Linked DNA regions of Rattus norvegicus. The protein of the gene in region 6 purifies or fractionates together with the protein of the main gene of each other region. This does not show direct contact. Links are inferred from orthologs where the notes say so. Each region holds a gene or a part of one and is shown on either strand. Other genes may lie near its edges.

Region 1 (3,500 bases), on a different chromosome or scaffold from region 6:
AAGAAATACTTCTAAAGTATGGTCACATAAGGATGTTTTCTGAGTGTCATGTTAAACCAAAGACACAGTGAGATTATGGGAGTATAATCCTAAATATTCAAAGGCAGTAGACTACCGCACATTCCTTCATCCAGGTCAATTAGCACAAAGTTTTGAGAATCTACACAGTCAGATGACTTGAATATAAATAAGGAGGCCTAAGAATTCTTGAGCACATTTCATATTCTCAAGTATCACTTACACGAGACATTTCCATCAATGTAGTCCAGGGACAGTGTTTGGGCTCCTTTCAAGGAGGTGTCAAACTTAAAACTGTTCATTGTATCACTAACGTTTCCTTGCCCTTTTCACTTTCGTAGCCCAAATGTCTGATTTATGGACTCGATGTAGAAGGAGGTATGAGAATATAGCTCATCTATTATTACATTAGAGACCCCATTTAAGTGGGAGTACATTTTTCATAAAGATTTTAAATTGAGAATTTCTAGTTTTTAAAAATTTAGTTTTAACTTCTACCATATATACCAGTATATGTAACACATTTAAACAAAAACTGTTAGAAATCTGTTTCTGTCCCCCGTGTGTGTGTGTGTGTGTGTGTGTGTGTGTGTGTGTGTGTGTGTGTGTGTGTGTGTGTGTCAGTGCTTATGTAAAATCAAGAGCCTCCTCTAGCACACGTAAGCACTAGACCACTGAGCTGAACTGTTGGCCCCCATCAACAATTTTAAATATCAGAAATATTAGGAACTAAAGCCCTAAAACAGCCCTTAGCATCTTGCAAAGTACTGTTCAGATGCCTAGAAATTAACCAAAGGCCCACCATGTTAACTTTCACAACACTCTTCAACGGGTACTTCTCAAGAGCTGCACAGGGATAGGTAGTGATGCTATAGACTAGCATGTACTCAAGAGAGAGATACTTACCACTGGAGAGTTATAAAGACATAATCTGACCATGAGAAAATCCTCTAAGGCAAACGTGGACAGCCACTTTCCTGACACATGACATTTGTTTCTACGGACTCTTTCATATCTAGTAATTTAACTCTCTTCATTGCTGAGGATTACGGCTAGAAACTCAAGTGTCATGTGACCCAGCAGATGGTGGGTAATGACACTGCTCTTCCAACCTCAGCTACTGTAATGTAAAACAATGCCTTTAATTGAGACTACTGTGCAAATAAATACTTACTAGTGCTGGCTTTCTGCTAAGGATAAGGTATTGGATACGGTGGGTACTATTACAAGTTACCAATCACTACATTCTCAGTTCAGGTTCAGAACAAATATAAGCAGTCATCTGCCCTTTCATGTAATCTCTAATCACTGGTCACAAGGCCCATTAAGTGTGTTTCCCTTTGCCTTCTGGGAGGTGCTGTGTTGGGATGTGAAATGTTTGTCACAGGCTATCTCAGCAGGCAGTGCTATTTTTGGAAGTCCTGGAAACTTAGGGAGACAGGAGCTAGTTACAGGAAGTAGGTCCCTGGGACTGTGTCTTTCAAGGATATAGATGATCCCAGTTTCTTCCTTTCTCTCTGCTTTCCTTTGCCATGGGATGAAGGCCTCTTCCTCCATGTGCTTCCTACTTACGGTATTCTGTCCTATCCAGGGCCAGAATCAATAGGATTTGGAGGTAAATGCAGGTAACAGGAGTTATGAAAGAGAACAGAAAGCTATTTTTCTAGTTCTACTTCTTTCATAGATTTGTTTTTTATGGTGGTGCATGAATACATAAAAATATATTTGACGGTGAAAATGTAAGAATCCAATGTGAAGCCCCAGAGCATCAGAACAGGTGCTATACCAATGGTTACTGAGATTTACCACAGTCTATGAGTCTGCGTAGTTTTGGTGTGTGGTGTTTTATCTGTAACAATTTAACTTTTAAAAACTCAAACTGTGGTTAACTTTTTATTGAAATTTTATCCTTTTCACCCACCATGGACTTGTCCAGAAGAGACTTCAAAATGTATTTTAACCATTCTAGACATAAAAAAATGGATCTAATCCTTCACTGATTCCCATAAAACCAATTTAACTTGTTGCAACCCTAAAACAGTGTTTACCAAAATATGCACGTCAAGTTCATGGTTTCAGCAGGCACGGCAATTGCACAGGGAGTCCCAGGGGACACGGTATCTCGGTGCAGCAGAGCTGGCACTTAAGACTGCGTGTGTGAAACCCAATGTTCCAGATCAGAACTGCCTATGCCACCAAGAGTTCTGACTCACAAATGGGCACCGACTGAGGGACCCCAAGTGCAAATTCCCCAGAATTTCTACCACTTTGCTTAATGTTTAATAAAACTACATCTGGTACCTCTGACACATTTATGTCTCAAGGGAAAACATATGATATGGTTTGACTATGAAATATTCTCTCAAAAGCTCATGGGTGTAAGACTAGGTCCCCATGTAGAACCTAAGTCAGTGAAGGTCACTGGATGCTTGCCTACAAAGGGCCCTGTCCTCTCTCTCCCAGTCAGCCCTACTCTACTGAGTTCCCTGCACTGAGGTTCTCTCTTACCACAGACCCAGGAACGACAGTGGCAAGTGGGAACGGACTGAAACCTCTCCAGTAAGCCTCCCAGAAAGCAAGCGACATTCTTACCTTCAGCATTTTCTTATTTGCTGTGTTCTTGCCGCATTCCCTCCTCAGCTGCTCACTCATGGCTTGTAGCTCTCGGCCAAAGTGAATCATTCTCTCTATGGCAGCTTGACTTCCTCCACACAGCTGGCGTCTTAACTGACTGCAGTCAACTTCTGTAGGCAAAACAACAGCTAGTTCACTACTTACTGAACAGAAAACAAAAAACCAGTGAGCATACAAGTTTTCTTTTTAACATATCATATGTTCTTCAGTAACTACTTTTTAGTTCATCTAAATACAGATAGCTATGAATATTCTCGAGACAAGGTCTTGTTAGGCTGGCAATGACCTCCCAAGGGCTGGAGTTACAGGCTGCTACTACCATGACTGGCTGCTGAACACAAAAAGTCAAAAATTTCCATGTAGCTCAAAGCTATATTTTATGTGTCTCAAGAGTTTGGAATCCGACATTCAATGTGCAGCCGTGGTACAAGAACTGTCCAGTGTTTGCATGGAAAGTTAAGTGTAACTCCTACACTCCATGAAACATGATGGGGGTGGGTGGGTATATGGAACAGTAACTCCCCTCTCGGGCTTTAACAGACAGCAAACAGAAATAGATTAAAATGTTCTTAGAAGTTAAGACCCCAGTAGAAGCACAGATGATATTTTATCTTACTAATGAAAAAGACCAATTACACTACTAAGGAAAATGTTACCCTTAAAAGTATTTTATATTATATATGTTGACTAACACTTGGTACTGAAACACTGTACTCATAAAAATCACTATTGGTAGCAGCATCCATATGATGATGAAGAAAACGCTAACGTTAACGAGTACTTGATATAATTAGCTTTTTAGAGATGAATTCATCTGCTCTTCACAGTGACTGAGATTTATTTTACCC
Region 2 (3,941 bases), on a different chromosome or scaffold from region 6:
GGGGGGGCAATAAAAACGTTTTAAAATCAGGTGATAGTTGTACAACTTTGGGAATATCCTAAAAACCATTAAGGGTAGACCTCGAATAGGCAAACAGTATAATGTGTGGAGTATATCATAACAAAAGTACTTAAGTAGAACGAGCAGGTGTACTTTCATTGGTTTGATTTCAGAGTCCATGCCTTTAACTGCCACATTATTCTGCTTCCTAAAAATAGTTTGGGCTAGAGAGATAGCTCAGTGGTTATCCCAGTGACCACGTGGGGGCTCACACCCATCTGTAATGGGATCTGATGCCCTCTTCTGGTGTGTCTGAAGACAGCTACAGTGTACTTATATATAATAAATAAATAAATCTTAAATAAAAATAGTTCAAGCCAAACAAACAAGAAAAGAAGGAAAAAAGTTGAATTATGAAAGACAGAACTATTCTCAGAGGGCTGAGTCTAGAAAAGACCAGTTAACATAACAGTTCCTGTGCCCCCACCTGGTCACAATAACAAGTTCACAGGCCTAGATGCAGGGGAGCCATCCGTGGCATGACTACCAACCATTCCCACCTCTAGGCATTCCATATAGGATATGGGCTACCTGACACCTTTCAACCACCTCTCTCACTCAACCACCTTTCCCATTGATCACAAGACCCCTGACAAGGTAGGGAACAACAGATAAATGATAGGAACAGACTTCCCTTTGATACCTAGTTGCTCTGGCAGTGATTTCCCTATTATATCAGAAATCAGCAAATGGGCGGAAATTCAGGGCCATTCCAAACATGATCCATGCAGGAATCTCACTTCCAGAATTTTATGATTAGTTGAATGAATTAAAAACAAAAAGCCTAACTTTTTCATACTATAGTATCAAATCTTAAAAAGGACAAAATGACTACCACAGCAGGTAACAAGACTTGAAATAGCTTGGCCACAACTTTCCAACTACAATAAATACAATAAATAAGTTCATGCAGAACTTCATGGGAAAAAAATTACATTTAATAAGAGTATGGTTTCCCCAGTCAAGAAGCTGAGAACTATCCCCACAAATAGTAAGAAAGAAAAGGCTGATGAGTGTGCTGCAGTTAGAAAGGAGACACAACTCTCCTGTCTGTGGAGTGGGAGAGCTATTTGTTCAAAAGAATCCAAGATGGGAAATTAGAACAAAGGGCGGTGGAGGGTATACAAGTACACTGCTATACACCTCCTTGGGGCCCTGGGGCTGCACGCCCCTCTAAGCCTCTGGTGGGGCTTTCAAGGAACAAGATTTGGGGAAGAACCCAGGAGCTGGCATTAGGAAAATGCACACAAGGTGAGACAAGGGAGAGGTCTTCAGGCAGTACCTAGAAAGAACAGTATTGTGCAGAGGGGAGATGAAAGAGAACTATCTCCTTCCACCAATCTCTCTTCAGTTGGGAAAAGCTTCAAGGGAGAGAGCAAGAAGTGGAGTTCTGGAAAAGAAAGGCCCAGAGCAGATGAAGCTGAAGTTTCAAAGTTGTTCCGGGCCTGGCAGCCACTAGCCAGTACTCAGATATCCAGGTCAAATAGGGGGAGGTAAGTGGACACAAAACAAAACTGGGTTAGACTTCCCAGTACTTGGGCATCTGAGGCTGGGAGGAAACTCTGGAGCTATGTAGATAAAAATCAGCAACACTACAGGCAGCAATGGCAACCAGCTAGACCAAGGTGTGAGGTCTGGGGAGAGGCCGCGGGGAAGGGGGGGGGGCGACGACACACACGACTGTCAGGGATAGAAAGTAGCTATAGCGCAAGGTAGGGTAAGAAGCCTGGGGCAGGAAGCACAGTGTAGCAGCAGATGTCTATGAACTGACTGACGCCGAGTTTTGGTACTGGAAGGCCTCAGGAGACAAGGTCTTAACACTAAGTGGTGCAACTGGAGATATCTGGGTGTGAGTACCTGGTCTTTGGGGAGCCTTAACCTTTGTGGGTTGTTTCGGCCAATGGAGGGAGGTTGCCCACCTCGCCCCGGTCGCCCCGAGAGCAGCGGGCTGACTGAGTTCTCCAAACTCAAAGGAGCAAGGTCCCTGGCACTTTGGATGGAGTTAGGGTCAGAGGAAAAGCTTCATTCTGGGAGAATGTGACACTGGCCGCTACTGAGTTTGGGGCAGCCAATGAAGAGTTTTTCAGGATCCGACAGGGATTGGTGGGAGGGCTGGCTGGTGTAGGGAGGACAGGACAGGACTTGGGAAGAACCGACCCAGGCTAAAGGACGGCTAGTCATGGGGGTGCTTCCGGATCCCAAGCGGGAGAGTCAAAGGCTCCAAGTGTGGGACAGTCTTCGGGGTCTGTCGGAGGCTGGCCGCTACAGGCTCTGAGTCTAGGGGTGGGTTAGGGGTAGGGTTCGAGAGTGTGACATCAGCTGGGCAGGTCCCGGTGGGAGGCGCCGGGTGCAGGAGGCCCCGGCAGTGAGGGCCTGGTCCGCGGCTGAGGGCTCGAGGAGCCCAGGGCAGGCCCGGCCCGTGAGCGCCGCGAGGAGGCCCTCGGGCCGGGCCTTGCCGCCTGGCGCTCACCTGCAGCACCACCTCTACGTCGTACGAGTTCCCCTTGCTCTTCTGGTGGCCACGGAACTTGGAGCCGCTGTAGAGCAAGCTGGTGGCCACGCCGGGCTGCTGGGTGTTGATGGGCGGCGGCGGGATGAGTGAAGCCGCGGATGTGGCTGAGGCACCCGCCGGCGGGGGACACTCGGTGCGGACCGGCATCGCGGGGTCCCCCGGAGCCAGGGCTGGGGGAGGGGGAAGGAACCGCCGCCGCCGCGCGGGAGCCGAAGCTGCGGGGAGGGCGGACCCGGGCGCGCACGCGCGGGGGAGGGGCTGGGGAACCACCCGCCCGCTGCCGGCTGACCGAGCGCTCGTGTCGCCACCTGGACCCCGAGACCTGCAAGCAGGGCCTCCCAGTCCTGAGCTGGGCTCCCCTTCCCACTTGCCCTCGCGGGCTCACACATACACACACACACACGCACACATGCACACACACACGCGCACACACTCACTCATACACACACGCGCGCACACACACATACACACACACACACACACACTCGCGCACACACTCACACACATACACACACACACACACACACACAAACACACACACACTCTACTGCTTCCAATTGGCGCGGACCCGCCGGAGAGGCGGGAGCAAGCTCACGCGGCGCTTCCGCCCATTGGCAGACAGAGAAAGCACGTGGTGCGGTGCGCGAATGGCCCTCTGGGACTTGTAGTTTTCTTCCCGTAGCGCGGCATGGAGGGGGCGGGGCGAGCACGCTTGTGATGCTGATTGACGGGGGCGGGGGCGGTACGCAGGGGGCGCGTGGCTGTGACGGCGTGCCGTAGGTGTCATGACGAAGATGGCGGCGTGCTGAGGAGGCTGAGGGCTTTGAACCCTTGGTGAGAGGTTTCCGTACGGAACCAGCGAGGCGTTTGGGGGACTCTCTTCGCTCTATTCCTGTACTGTTTTCACGTATGGGTCCACCCAAACCCTTGGGCATGATGTGGCGAATCTACCCCCGGCTGAGGGACCGGTGGCGCGGTCTCTTGGACCGGCCTCTCGGTGACCCCACCGTTTCATTGTGGCCGGGGCCAGCTCTGAGGCCTCCAGCCCGGGCCTACGTCCCGCCAACAGGTGAGGCCCGGACTTCTGTTACTTTTTGTTCAGGAGCCAAGTCGGGCTCACCTGGCGGAAGGTTTCCGACGTGCAGTGCGGGGTGACTGAGGCAGGGTTCAGGCCCATGAGAATATTCAGAGTAATAGAACTCTGTTTCAGTTTGAAAAATGACATCCAAACCAGTGCGGGAGTGACTTTAGGGGACACAGCGTTTCCAGGGTAGGAGATATTTGGCTGAGGCTTCTCTCAGTTTCCTTTCTTTTTCTTCGCCTTTTGCTTGTTTCATTTTTCAAGACAGGGTTTCTCAGTGTAGCCCTG
Region 3 (3,500 bases), on a different chromosome or scaffold from region 6:
AACCCATGTAAATGACTACAGAACTACAAGCCACTTTATGTCCCTGAGGCCGAGTAGAGCCAGAGTTGGCTTAAGAAGGGCCTTACTCCCTCCCCAAAGACCCCAGACAGGTTCCCACATAGCACCTTATTGGAGGAACCAGCCAAGGTCCGCAGCCAAGTGGACTGCTTGTCCTTCTCAGAAGACGCAGGGGACTGTGAGGAAGTGTCGTCTGTTTTGGGTCTTATGGAAGCTGGGGGCTCTGAGACCTGTGATCAACACAAAAGGCCCTGTTGGGATCCCTGGGCCCAGGCAGGGTCTGGTCTCCCTACCAGCCCCATAGTAGCAAGCTCTCCACTGGACCATTGTAATTCCACAGCTAGGAAGGAGCCTCAGAGCCACAAACACAGAGCACCTTGGCCTTGTGCAGAAAGGTAAGCCTGATGTGTCTGCTAAGGGACGAGGGCGTCCCATGAGACAGAGAAATACTGTGCTGCTGTGGGCTGCTCTGAGGTGACCTCATCACAGCTGCAGCGGGTGCTGTGTGGATCGCCAAGACCCATTCCGGCTTCCACAGCACTCTTAGGTTCTTTGCCTTCAGTCCCACTCTGTGGCCACATCAGGAATGGGCTAAATGACCCAGCACTGACTCCAGGCTCAAGTGTGACCCAACAAGCAGCCTGTAAGGAACCCAAGAGGGCTGCCCTCTGGGCATCCTTTATCACTGCTTCATTGGAGAGCATTACGGTTACCACAGCTACCCCCTCCCCAGAGGAAGGAAATATTCAACTTGAAGGACCATGACATACCTCACAAAATAGCTTAACCAGGTGTCACCACACTGCCTTTGCTGTCAGCTTACAGAAGCCAGCCAGTACCCTAACTTATCTTGGGCACCAGCTGTGGTCTAGTTTGACATCCAGCATTAAGTGGTGCACACCTGAGCCAGTCTGTATGTGAAATCCAATGACCCTCCACCTAAGTGTCACATTACACACACACACACACACACACACACACACACACACACACACACACACCGGCGTTCCACCTGCAGAACAATCACAGCATGGGCCTCTCCCAGAGCAGATAAGACTAGAGGAGCTAAGCTGCTGTCCCCCAGGTAGGGCCTAAGGAGATGACACAGACCCCAAGGCAGGCATACAGGGTTTACACCTCGGTCCCACGCACAGCCTCGTTACCTTGGGTGTAATGGGAAGGATGCAGCTAAAGTGAGACTTCCAGCCAGAGCCCTCCGGCCTACAGAAGAACAGGGCTTTTATCACAACACCTGCAAAGAGGAAGAAGGCAGCCAAGGTGCCAGCTTGATAGGTTTCTTACTAGGAAACCTGGAGAGGGCGATCAGCCCCCCTGGCGGCATGCATGTGCCTGGGACGACACTGGTGTTCCCAGACACATACAAATAACTGTTCAAGAAGAAAAGACACCGAAACCACTTTCTAGAGGGAATAACTCTTAGTGTCAAGCTGTCACTTAGCAGAGGATCTGTCAGCGGAGGCCGTGTGTACTCCCTGAAGGAGTAGATACCCAGGATGCTGGCTGGGGTAGAAGAACCCACTTCCGGAACTGCAAGGATCCCTCTCACAATGGAGGCAGAAGGGGGGTGTTGCACACCAGGGTGGGGCTTCCTGTCTGAGCAGACACTGGAACAGGTGCAAAAAGTGAGTTTCTATTCTCTCACAGAGAAAGCCACAAGTCTAGTCTGGGACACCGCTCAGGCAGCCTCAAAACTGTGACCCAGCAGAAAATGCTGGGGAATAGGACCACTGGGTGAGGCTGCTTCCTGTTCAGAAGGGCCACAGACGGGGGGAGTGGTAGACTACCATACTGGGGTCAAAGTCTCCTAAGGTAACCCAGCTGCTTCACACATCGGATGGGGAAGCCCCTGGAGCTAGTGGAGGAGTCTTAGGGTAGCTGGGACAGCTCTCCTGAGATTTTCATACAAAGTCCAAAGGCAACCAGAACTCTTACAGAACAAGGAAGTGTTAAAACTAGACGGTGCCAGGAATCCCTTTAATACCAAACTAGCTGTACACATAAGGGGGAAGCTGAAGGGCATTTGTTAAGCAACAGGACCCTGAAGAAGGGTCACTTGACAGGGGTCCTGCTTGACAGGGGTGCAGTGAAAAAGCTTTGTCAGACCTGGGATACCACCATCTATAGCATGGATACTAGGGGTCCTAGGAGTCAGTCAATGGTTAGGACCAGTCAGTTACCTCTGGATCCTGTCCTTTCTTGGGGCCTCAAAACCATCCCAGTGTCTATAAGCCAGGAGGGGAGCTCTGGGCCCATATGCTAAAGCCAGGAGCTAAACAGGTTGACAAGAGACAGCCCTGCTGCCAAAAGTCCAATACCAAGGGCTATTATCAGGCTGTATCAGGGGAGGAGCCAGCTGAGCTGGCCACAGCAATGCCCTGTGGCTACTTCCTCTCTGGAGCTTCAGACAGTGGTGCTTGTTTCCTCCACATCCCAAGGGCAAAGACGCAGAGAACAGGTGTCACTGAGTGTGACCTTTGCACCTGTGCAGGAAGGGCTGGGCCAGGCAGGGCTGTGGATATGTAGATCCCAAAGCAGATGAGGAGCCAGCTATATACGCCCACCCCCACTCCCACCCCCACCCCCCATCGCTGAGTCTGTGTACTCTTGACCTACAGGGAACTTAAGAATTCCTCACCTCCACCTCCAAACCTCAGAAAGAGCACTTGAGACACTCATGCTGCCCAAGGGCAGAAACAGGGCAGGACGACATGGGCCTACGGGTTACAGTGGAGGCTGGCATTCAGGTGAGCTGTGGCCAATATGGCTGCTGTGTCTAACACTCTCCTCTAGCCTCAGATGGTACAGAGAACTGCCAGGCAGAGCCTCAGGGGTTTGTGGCCAGCAGGAACCATACAGCACAAGTAGAGGGCTTGAACCGGACAGACAGTGCACCCTGAAGATGCCTATGCCCAAGAAGCAAAGACGGTAGGTCTGGAGAAACCTCACGAGGCAACTTGCCAGAGGCAGTGGTCCCCTTGGCTAATACTGTGGAGGCAGTGGAGTGGGTTGGGGGTTCTAAAAGAGGCCTGCACATTGCTAAGATCATGGTAACCAGATACCCACAAAGAAGCTGAGAACCACTGGGGGTCCCTACAGAGCATCTGCTCACCTCACACGCTATAGAATCTTGATAGCCTCCACTCATTTCCAGTCCTGAGAGAAGCAGCTCACTGCCATTCTTCACCCCAAGATAACCCCTCTTTAGTCAGAGCCAGGGTGAAGGGCACACATGCACTTTTAACACCAGCACTAGGAAAGCAGAGGCAGGCAGATCTGGGAGTCCAAGGCCAGCCTGGTCTACACAGCAAGTTCCTCGACAGCCAGAACTACCTAATAAAGAGACCCTGTCCCCAAAACAAAACTAACAAGAGTCTGCCCCAGAAACTGTCCCCAAGGTGCCTGCGCTCCCATCCTTCCAGCCACATCCAGTTTCTTGTCCTTGATTTTGTGTGTGTGGGGTT
Region 4 (3,500 bases), about 44 Mb from region 6:
AATGAAAGTATTTCCAGATTTGTCAACTTGCACAAAGCTCAAGTCCAAATGGATCAAAGAGCTCAACATAAAACCAGATACACTGAATCTAACAGAGACAATGAGAAAGAACCTCAAACTCATTGGCACAGGATAAATTTCTTAAACAGAATTCCAATGGCTCATGCTCTAAGATCAAGAATTGATAAACGGGACCTCATGAAACTGGAAAGCTTCTGTAAGGCAAAGAACATAGTCAATAAGACAAATTGTCATCCTACAGATTGGGAAAAAAAAATCTTCACTGACCCCCCCACAGCTAATCACCAAAAAAAAAAAAAAAAAAAAAAACCAACCAAACAAAAAACCCAAAAAAAAAAACCAAAAGCAAACAAACAAACAAACAACCCAATCAAAAACAGAGGCAGAGGAATGTTGAAGGGCTGAGAAGCACTTAAAGAAATGTTCAAAGTCCTTAGTGATCAGGGATAAGCAAATCAAAATGGCCTGAGATTCCACCTTACACCAATCAGAATGGCTAGGATCAAAACTCAGGTGACAGCACATGTTGGCAAGGATGTGGAGAAAGAGGAACACTCCTCCATTACTGGTGGGATTGCACACTGGTACAACCACTCTGGAAATCAATCTGGAGATTTCTCAGAAAATTGGAAATAGATTTATCTGAAGATCCAGCCATACCACTCTTGGGCATATAGCCAAAAGGTGCCATGCCACCATGCTCCACTATGTTCATAGCAGCCTTGTCTGTGATAGCCAGAAGTTGGAGACAACCCAGATGTCCCACAACAGAAGAATGGATACAGAAAATGTGGTTCATTTATACAATGTTATACTTTTAGCTATTAAGAATAAGGACATCGGGGGTTGGGGATTTAGCTCAGTGGTAGAGCGCTTGCCTAGCAAGTGCAAGGCCCTGGGTTCGGTCCCCAGCTCCGAAAAAAAGAAAAAAAAAATAAGGACATCATGAGTTTTGCAGGCAAATGGATGGAACTAGAAACTATCATCCTGAGTGAGGTAACTCAGACCGAAAAGGATATGCATGGTTTGTACTCACTAAGAAGTGGATATTAGCTTTTAAAAAGTACAGAATTCCTAGGATACAATCCACAGAACTCAAGAAGGTTGACAAGCTAAAGAGCCCAAGTGAGGAATGCCTCAATCCCACTTGGGAGGGAGAAGAACAATCACTGGAGGGTGAGGGAGGGACCTGGGTAGGAAAGGAGACAGGGAGGGGAAGAGGAGAACATGATCAGGTATTAGGTGGGGGAATAGGACTGAATCCTGAGGGCCAGCAGAAAGAATGGAAACAGGCAACCTCAGGAGGTAGGAGGTAGGGCGACCCTCCAGAATGTACCAGAGACTCTCAACACTCAAAGGGACCTTAGATGAAACGTCCTACAGTGGGGAGAGGGAACTTGTAGAGCCCACCTCCAGTAGAAAGACAGGGGGATGGGGTTGCCATCCCACAGTCAAAACTGTGACCCATAATTCTTCCTGTCCGAAAGAACTGCAAGAACAAAAGTGGAGAAGAGCCTAAGGAAAAAGAGGTCCAGCCACAGGCCCAAAGAGAAATCCAGCTCAAGGGAAGGCCCCAAGGCCTGACACTATTACTGAGGCTATGGAGTGCTCACAATAAGCATTGTGACTGCCCTTCAAAAGACCCAACAAGCAGCCGAAAGAGTTAGATGCTGATATTTATATCCAACCAATGGACAGAAGATGCTGATTGCTGTGGTTCAATTAAAAAGGAGCTGGAGGAAGCTGAGGAGGAGGGTGACCCTGTAGGAGGACCAGCAGTCTCAATTAACCTGAATTCCCAAGATATCTCAGACACTGGGCCACCACCTAGGGAACATTACACCAGCTGATAAGAGGGCCCCAACCCATATACAGCTGAGGACTGCTGGGTCTAGACTCAGTCAAAGAAGATGCACCTGACCCTCAAGAAACTGGAGGCCCCAGGGAGTGGGGAGAACTGGTGAGGTGGGGGTGGGAGCATGGGGACATCCTAATGAGAAGGGGGTAGGAGTTATGGGATGTGGAATAGTCAGAGGGTAGACTGAGATGGGGATAAAATCTGGACTGTAAAAAGAGATTAAATAAAATTTAAAAAATTATATTAAAAGAAGAAAAGAAAAACAAGCTGGTTTTAATTCTATCTCCAGTGCCAAACTGGGCCTTAATCAAATCTACCCTTCTGGATAAAGAATTCATAGGTAAAGCAATTACTGTGTTGGTTAACTGTTAATTATCAAAATGAGACTTTAAAAAGTAGTGTGTACGATGAATTACTACTAGCCATGCCAGGACAATGTACAGAATCTGGTTAGTAAATAACCACCTTTTTAGTAGGAGGTCCTACTTAGATGATAAGCTCGAACATCTTCAAGGTATGAACGACTGCAGGAGGCTACCCTAGAGACCACTCTGCTGTGCTCATGCCTTACCTACAGTTTACTACAGTGGACTCAAGTTGGTGGTGTCGCCAAAGTCAGAATATTTCTTCAGATGCTGCTTTTTCACAAAGTCCATTCCCCAAAGCACAGACATACACGTTTACTTCAGAAATTCACACACTATAGTTTCCTTAAAATAATAGTAAATCATGTGATTTTGAACAGTGGAATTAGACAGTTTTATTCCTTTAATTTAGAATTATTTCAATTAGAGAAGGTTACAAAGAGAAGAAAATGGACATTAATTTCCTATAAAAAGCAGTTACAACACAGGAAATATTCTTACCCATTCCAGAGTCTTTCTTGGTGCCATCTGAAATTATGTCTACATGATCAGAGTCCACATCATAACTAAAAAAATCATTCAAATAGGTCTTAGATCTCTGGCCACCAAACACGTATAAACAACGGTTTTTCTAAAAAGAAAAAAAAAAAAAGGAGAAAAGGGAGTTGTCATTTCCAATAAAGCACTGAGAATGAGCCTTCACACTTTACATCCCTACGAGAGCAGTCTCCGAGTGATCCCACATATCACTACTTTGCTCAAATGAAGAGGGACGAGGCAGGTCTCTCCACACTACCACTGCTAAGGTATCCCACTAAAACTGAATAGCCAGATTGCTGCCTGTGATGGTTTGCATATGCTTGGCCCAAGGAGTGGCACTATTAGAGGGTGTGGCCTTGCTGGAGGAAGTGTGTCACTGTGGGGTGGGCTTGGAGACCCTCCTCCTAGCTGCCTGAGGATGCACAGTCTGTTCCTGGCTTCCTTCAGAGGAAGATGTAGAACTCAGCGCCTCCTGCACCGTGCCTGCCTGGATGCTGCCATGCTCCCACCTAGATGACAATGGGCTGAACCTCAGAATCTGTACGCCAGTCCCAATTAAATGTTGTCCTTTACAAAACTTGCATTGATCATGGTGTCTGTTCACAGCAGTCAAACCCTGACTAAGACTCTGCCTTTTGTATAACTATGAGAGCAGAAATAAGAGTGAGCCAGCAAGCAAGAAGTGTGTTTGTGTAAGTCAAAACATAATAAAGGAC
Region 5 (3,500 bases), on a different chromosome or scaffold from region 6:
CTGGCAGAGCCATGGAAGTGAAGAGAAGCTCCACAGCCCTGCTGCCCTCAGGGGCCTGACTGATATTCATTCTTCTCCTCAGGCCAACCTCTACCCCACCGTAGGCCTACAGACACCTGGGGAGATTGTGGATGCCAACTTTGGGCAGCAGCCCTTCCTGTTCGACATTGAGGACTATATGCGGGAGTGGCGTACCAAAGTCCAGGGCACTGTGCACGGCTTTCCCATCAGTGCCCGGCTTGGCGAGTGGCAGGCAGTGCTGCAGAAGTGAGTGTTCCCCCTCCCCCAGGCCTCATGGGACTATAGACCTGTGCAGTACTGCAAACACTGCTGACAGTTGTAGTGGTGGGCATGCTCCTGAGAAGCACTGGCAGAGGACTCAGCTGCTCATGCTTCCCTCTCACCAGTGCACATCTCACTCATACTTTTGGAGCTGCTCCTAGTTAAACCTTGTGTGGGGCTACAGAAATGACTCAGCAGTTAAGAGCACAGAGTGTTCTTGCAGAAGACCTGAGTTCAGTTCCCAGCACCCATGTCAAGTGGCTCACAACACCTCTGACATCACTAGCCTCTTGAGGCACCTGCTCTCAAGTGTATAAACCCACATATGGGTCTGTATACATGCATACATACATACATACATACATACATACATACATACATACATACATTTAATTCAAAATAACCACAATTTAAAAACAAAAAACAAAAAAAAAAAAAAAAAACCTTCCCCTCAACCAGCTCACAAGTCTTCTATTTGTAAGTGCACACCTTTAATCCTAGCACTTGGGAAGCAAAGGTAAGCAGATCTCTGTGAGTTTAAGGCCAGCCTCATCTACAATAGTAAGTTCCAGGACAGTCAGGGCTATGTAGAAAGAACCTGACTTTAAAAATACCACCACCGGGATTGGGGATTTAGCTCAGTGGTAGAGCGCTTGCCTAACAAGCACAAGGCCCTGGGTTCCCCAGCTCCGAAAAAAAGAAAAAAAAAAAAAAAAAAAAAAAAAGATACCACCACCACCAACCAAAGGAAATAACTAGTTTAAAAAATCACCAGCATAGCCGTGTTCCTTCCCAGGGCTATTTTGTAGAAGTTTTAGGACCACTATGGTTTATTCTTCTGTGGACACTTTTTCTGCTATAAAAATGCATATTGCCAAATGTGGTGGTGCATGCCTCTGTTCCCAGCAGCAAGTCTCTGAATTCGACACCAGCCTGGTCTACAGAGCAAGTTCCAGGACAGCCAGGGTTATTACATAGAAAAACCCTGTCTCAAAAAGCTATTTAAAAAAAATCTGCATTGCAAGGCTTTGGCTTGAGGTCACTTAACAGGCTCAGCATCCAGCTAATTATCCCTGTGTCCATGGAGTGGTATCAGGGAAAGAGTGGATCAACCTAGCATGCTCCTTGGTTAATTAATCTCTAAATTGTCTTGGAAGCCAGTGTTGCTGGGACTCCAACAGGAGGACAAGTTTGGTCTTATTTCACTAGCTAACTTCATACCTAGGTGAAGCAATGACTGTTACTCACCCACCTCTTAGAAGGTGAGTGTTAGCTTGGCTCCCAAGAGTGGAGAAGGTCCTGGCTTCTACTAACCCTGATCATTGTTGTGCAAAGGCATGAGGGACCTGGAGTAGCAATATACTGGGTTCTCATCCAGTCTCAGTCAGTCTCAGTCCCCACCCCAGCTCCACCCTTTCTCCTCCACTGACTTTATCTTTCTTTTGAACTCAGGAATTTACATATGCTAGGAAAGGACTATCACTGAGTCTTATCCCCAGTGTTCAGCCTTCCTTTCCTGAGGAATTGATACTAAAGCAGCCTTGAGGAAGGGTTGAGGTACAGATAGTGAGACCCTTGTTGGGAAGAACAGCAGGACCACCTCTGGCTCCCAGCCTAGCAGGTGAGAATTGCTCCCTTGAGGGCCACAGCAGTGCCATTCCCCACAGTATGCTTTCTGGGTGGGCAAGAGAAGAGGTGGAGTTACTTTCAGGGTCTGGGCTCAACACATGGAAAGTTTTTGTTTATATGTATGTATCCATGTGCCTGTATGTGTCCTATGCAGCATTTGCTAAAACCTGCATATAATTTGTGTCCTGTTATTTTACCTAATTTTATAAATATTGGAAATGGCTGGGTTATCTTGGAGATAGATTGATCACAAGCTTCATGTCTGGCCGGCTTCCCCTGGTGAAACACCGGTACTATCAACTTCCCTCCCCCATTCGCTCCCCTTCCTCCTACTTCTCTCTCCTTCCCTCTCTGTGATAACAATAGAACACAGGTGGTCATCCATGCTAGGCAACCACAGTACTGCTGACCTGAGTCCCCAGCCCCTGTTTCTTTTGCTGGCATAGGTAATACTTTCATAATAAAGAAATTTATATATATTACATCACTTTCTGGATCTAGCGATAAGGCTCAGTGTTTAAGAGCACTTTCTGCTCTTGTTGAGAACCAGGTTTGGTTCCCGGATGACATGACAGCTTACGACCACTGGTAACTCCAGTCCAGAGGATCAGGCACTCTCTTCTGTACTCCGTGGCACCAGCCACACTCAGAGTGCTTAAGCTTGCATGCAAACACTCAGATGTATAAAACAATGAGGAGATGAGAAGGGCTTAAAATTTACTTTGGTGTCCTCCAAAATAATTTAAACTATGCCTATTTTGTTAGAATTTTATTTATTTTTCTTTTCTATGTATTAGAGTTTTGTCTGTAGCTAGGTATGTATGTGTAGTGTGTGTGCTTGGTACTTGTGGAGGCCAGAGGAAGGCATCAGGTCCCCTGGAACTGGAGTTATGAACAGGCTATGAGCCACCATATGAGTGCTGGGAACCAAATCCAAGTCCTCTGCGAGGACACCAAGTGCTATTAAACCACTGAGCCATCTCTCCAGCCCTAAGAAAATACATTTTAGAATTATCAATGTTCATATGGGCTCATCTGAACCATGTTTTTTTTTTTTTTCAAAATCATTGCTCTTCTGTTTATGATAATAATAATTACAATTATTGTCCGAGAGTATATTTTTGTCCAAAATTAAAACTTTATTGAAAAACTGACACCAAAATAGCAGTGTATCCTATAACACAAGGCTACATTTGTTTTCAGTTCATGCCAAGCATCTTGTTCATTCTATCTCATTTACCCCTTCAAACATCAGGAGCCACCCAGCCACAGGTGTGCAGCCTTAGAACATTCTCCCCATACATGTCCACGCAAGTCATGAGAGTTCATGCATATACATGTACATATGTGCATACATACATATGGCATTGCTCAACCAGCTTTAGCGGGGTTAAATTACTGTTGTACATTATGCCTTCCACAAAGACTGTGCTCCTATTAGCCATGAGGTGCCTGTCTCTTCCCAGCAAAATCAGCCTGTTATCTTGAATTCTTGCACCTTTAATACATGGTATATTATGAGATTAATTTGACTCATTTGCCTGCCATTCCTCTAGAGCAGTGGTTGTCAATCTTCCTGATGCTGCGAT
Region 6 (3,500 bases):
ACAGCAAATCTGTTGTGAGCTATCAGTCTGCATAAAGGACAGCCCACATGCGTTTCAGTGACCACAATCACCACCAATCTGCACTGCCAGGGTTTCTGTGTGGTCTGGGAAGGGTATAAACAGTTTCTTTCAAGCAACAGACCTCCCAGGAAAGGGCCTTCCCACAATGGGGCCAGAACCAACCTGAGTCAAGACCCCTCCAACTGCCTAAGTTAGAATACCTTGGAGATCTGTTTTGTTTTAAATTGGGCTCATTGTCTGTAAAATTACAAATGTCTATGAGCTTTGAACCATGATTACACTGGTAGCAATTATCACATGTGGACAACACACTGGCACTGTATTCACCAAGAGGAAAATAGCTGAATAATCATATTTCCACACTGCAGAGTAATCTACATTGGGGGAGGGCAGCAAAAGTAGTTGAGACAATCTCATGTAGCTCAAGATGACCCTTCTAACTTGCTACATAGTTGGGATGACCTTGCACTCCGGGTCCTACCTCCACCACTCAAGTGCTGGGATTAGAAGCAAGCACCACCATGCCTGCTCATCCACAGCTTTAACATCATCATAACAAAGGGCTCTTTTTGCAACATATAAAAATAGCTCCACAATAAAGCCCTAAGTGAGAGAAGTGAAACAAAGAAGGGAGTAGGACATGCATAGTAACTACACTTAAAGCCTGGAGGGAAGGGCACACAAGGATTAGAGAACATTTACAAGTCTATTTACCAAATTTAGACTGCAGGTTAAACTAACCAAAGAGATTAGACATAACCCACTTTCTATGACTAGTTAAGAAAACTCATTTCTCAGTGTAGTTATGGCTAAGCACAGTGTTACACACTAATCCCAGTACTCAGACAAATGTCCGAGATCGAGGCTGGCCTACTCTACAGATCAGCCATGGCTATACAAAGAAACCCTGGGGGGTTGGGGAACCAACCAAATATATAAAAGATTTTGGATGCATTCATTTATCCTTATTACATCTTACTTCCTACAAGACAGATCTATTTAATATTTAAGAAGTCTGACACTTACTTGCTACCATTAAACATTTTATTCAGGGCATCTCTTGATATAATATGACCACAAACCAATTTCATGGGTGGGTTGTTATCTGTTGTTTGCTGACGAAGAATGGGACAGGCAAATATGGAATGATACCAGCACTTTTTACCAAGGTCCACTTCAATCTGTTCAAAAAAGAGAAATGCACAGAGGCTAGTTAAATCTTCATCTGCAAAACTACAACATTGCTTTTCAAACTGAATCTGGGGTCTGAGAAGATCAAACATGACGCTCAAAAGTTAAGTATCTTTTTTTGGTGGTACCAGGCAGCCTGGCCCAGCACTAAGCCATATCCCTGGCCTAAATACCTTGTAATTTCACCAGAACATATCCCAAGAGCAGAAGCAGACCCTGACTTCTGTAGAAATGCCTGGTTAGGTGATAAATTCAGTGCATCGACTCCTCCAAGGGCAATCTAAATAGAGCTGCCTTCTAGGTGACCAGATCTGAGTTTCCTCTGTAATTTGCATGACATGGTCCAGAGAAAACCCGAAGGAGGGATTTTTGTTTTGTTTTTTTTTTCCCCCAGTGCTAGAGTCCAAAGTGGAGGTTTGCATGTGACTAGGCAGGCTTTAATCCAGTACCCTACCTGCCACCATCACCTCTTGGTGCATGTTCCCCCCTTTTTTTGCTTTTGAGATAGGCTCTCTATAAGTTGTCCAGGCAGGCTTTGAATTTACAGTCTTCTTGCCTCAGCCTCCCAAATGTCTGGAATTACAGGCTTGTAATACCAATAACACTTAAGCTAAATCTCAGCAGGATTTTTGTCATTTGTTCACATTAAAAGCTCAAGGCATGATATCAACATTGTGTTTTTGCCACAAATAAATCCAATTATATAAAAGTTTGAAGTCATCTAGCAGACCAGCTGAGTCTCCACCAATACATGGCCTGCCTGCCTGCCTGCCTGCCTGCCTGCCTGCCTGCCTGCCTGCCTGCCTGCCTGCCTGCCTGCCTGCCTTCCTCCCTCCCTCCCTTTTCTTTCTTCCCATCTACAACAGCTCCTGTACTAAAAGTCCATTACTGCCAGGCGTGGTGACACACACCTTTAGTCCCAGTAGAGAAAGGGGTTTTGAGTTTGAGGTCTCTTGTATCTGATGGATACAAGACAAAATGAGATCTACGGCAGCCAGTGACACACAGACTTAGTCAATTCATAAGGTTCTTTAAGGAAAACTGACAAAGGGGAAGGAATTCAGTGTGCACAAGGATCTGAGTCCAAACTACAATACTGAAAAAATGGTGGAACACACCTATAAAGCCAGTGCCCAAGAAGATCAGAGGAAACCCAAATTGGACTATATAGTTAGGGTATCCCCTGACTCCCCACTCCCCAAAAGAAAGGGAGGGGCGCACAAAAGCCAAAAGTACAACAAATCTTTCCTGAGGAAAGATTACCAACCCCTTCCTCTTGATACTCTCCCAGTCAGATGCACACTGTCAGCGGGGATCCTATAGATTCCTCTACGTCAGTGTGCATATGTCAAAGAAGCTCACAGAAAGATCATAAAACTGCCAGAAGCTTGGCATCTGCTTAAGAAACAGAGTTCTTTCATTTGCTCAAGCAGCAGCAGTAGAGTACAGTGTTGCTTATGCCCTGACCACATGTAGCACCAGGAAGGCACCTGTGCCTTTAGTCACAAACCACCCTCAGCAAGCTGCTCTAGTTGGTGCAACCAACTGACAGGCTTACAGCTGAAGGAACAAGCTAACTGCAGACAAATCTATGTGCAGGTGTGGGAAAAGAAGCTAATGTCAAAGGCTTATTAATTCAACCCTCCGGCATCTGTGACACAATTATCTCAGAAATGATAATTTCGGGTTAAAATCCTTCAAATCTATTTTCTTGTTTCATTTTTTTTAAGACAGTGTCTCAGTAAGAAAGAGGCCCTGATTGTCCTGGAACTTACTATGTAGGCCAGGCTGGGCTCAAACTCACAAACATCTTCCTGCCTCTCCCTTCTGAGAGCTAGAATTAAGTGTGTTCCATCACCTCCCTCTTACCTATTTTAATTTTAATTAGTTAACTGACATGTTTCCTTTTTAGAGTGGTGAGGAGACTAGGTCCAAAGCTTCAAGCCTGCCAGGCAATGGTCTTCCACTGAGCTATATCCAACCTTACTGTTCACTCATGTTATGTGCATCAAAACAAAAACAAACAAAAAACCATGCTGAATAGCTGTAATAGTGTTTTCTGGTTAAATGGCATGATGAGTACTTTGAAAACACCTTCTAGGGCAAGAAAGGTAAATAAATTGTCAATTGAACTCACAGGTAATTCGTCTTTCTGGTTCCAAACTCCAGTACACTGCCTCTGTTCAATCACAGCTTTGATGTTAATTAGTGCAGGCAGCGCCACACAACCTGCTGAGAAACTGAGGGCAAAAAAGGGAAGCATTAGTGCCAACCCCAGGGATGCTAAC

The links.
Region 1: the proteins of Rmnd5a (region 6) and Ranbp9 purify together in Homo sapiens (affinity purification with mass spectrometry; 9 studies listed by BioGRID and IntAct, counting the BioPlex papers as one, with this or other methods). This does not show direct contact. The link is inferred for Rattus norvegicus from reciprocal best matches to the Homo sapiens genes RMND5A and RANBP9.
Region 2: the proteins of Rmnd5a (region 6) and Gid4 purify together in Homo sapiens (affinity purification with mass spectrometry; 4 studies listed by BioGRID and IntAct, counting the BioPlex papers as one, with this or other methods). This does not show direct contact. The link is inferred for Rattus norvegicus from reciprocal best matches to the Homo sapiens genes RMND5A and GID4.
Region 3: the proteins of Rmnd5a (region 6) and Ski purify together in Homo sapiens (affinity purification with mass spectrometry; 3 studies listed by BioGRID and IntAct, counting the BioPlex papers as one, with this or other methods). This does not show direct contact. The link is inferred for Rattus norvegicus from reciprocal best matches to the Homo sapiens genes RMND5A and SKI.
Region 4: the proteins of Rmnd5a (region 6) and Mkln1 purify together in Homo sapiens (affinity purification with mass spectrometry; 4 studies listed by BioGRID and IntAct, counting the BioPlex papers as one, with this or other methods). This does not show direct contact. The link is inferred for Rattus norvegicus from reciprocal best matches to the Homo sapiens genes RMND5A and MKLN1.
Region 5: the proteins of Rmnd5a (region 6) and Ranbp10 purify together in Homo sapiens (affinity purification with mass spectrometry; 4 studies listed by BioGRID and IntAct, counting the BioPlex papers as one, with this or other methods). This does not show direct contact. The link is inferred for Rattus norvegicus from reciprocal best matches to the Homo sapiens genes RMND5A and RANBP10.

What each region holds. Positions count from the first base shown.
Region 1 is NC_086035.1:21,496,277-21,499,776, reverse strand, and holds part of Ranbp9 (ran-binding protein 9), read right to left. Parts: intron 2,763-3,500; coding exon 2,611-2,762; intron 1-2,610. UniProt on the Homo sapiens protein: May act as scaffolding protein, and as adapter protein to couple membrane receptors to intracellular signaling pathways. Acts as a mediator of cell spreading and actin cytoskeleton rearrangement.
Region 2 is NC_086028.1:45,719,914-45,723,854, reverse strand, and holds the start of Gid4 (glucose-induced degradation protein 4 homolog), read right to left. Parts: upstream 2,801-3,941; 5' UTR 2,720-2,800; coding exon 2,531-2,719; intron 2,484-2,530; exon of another isoform or gene 2,242-2,483; coding exon of another isoform or gene 2,218-2,241; intron 1-2,217. Other genes in the region: Atpaf2 (ATP synthase mitochondrial F1 complex assembly factor 2), read left to right, coding at 3,482-3,641.
Region 3 is NC_086023.1:171,002,458-171,005,957, forward strand, and holds part of Ski (ski oncogene), read right to left. Parts: intron 1,271-3,500; exon of another isoform or gene 1,182-1,270; intron 249-1,181; coding exon 126-248; intron 1-125. UniProt on the Homo sapiens protein: May play a role in terminal differentiation of skeletal muscle cells but not in the determination of cells to the myogenic lineage. Functions as a repressor of TGF-beta signaling.
Region 4 is NC_086022.1:61,053,318-61,056,817, reverse strand, and holds part of Mkln1 (muskelin), read right to left. Parts: intron 2,876-3,500; coding exon 2,746-2,875; intron 1-2,745. UniProt on the Homo sapiens protein: Component of the CTLH E3 ubiquitin-protein ligase complex that selectively accepts ubiquitin from UBE2H and mediates ubiquitination and subsequent proteasomal degradation of the transcription factor HBP1.
Region 5 is NC_086037.1:50,574,560-50,578,059, reverse strand, and holds part of Ranbp10 (ran-binding protein 10), read left to right. Parts: intron 1-82; coding exon 83-267; intron 268-3,500. UniProt on the Homo sapiens protein: May act as an adapter protein to couple membrane receptors to intracellular signaling pathways.
Region 6 is NC_086022.1:104,939,089-104,942,588, forward strand, and holds part of Rmnd5a (required for meiotic nuclear division 5 homolog A), read right to left. Parts: intron 3,453-3,500; coding exon 3,350-3,452; intron 1,203-3,349; coding exon 1,048-1,202; intron 1-1,047.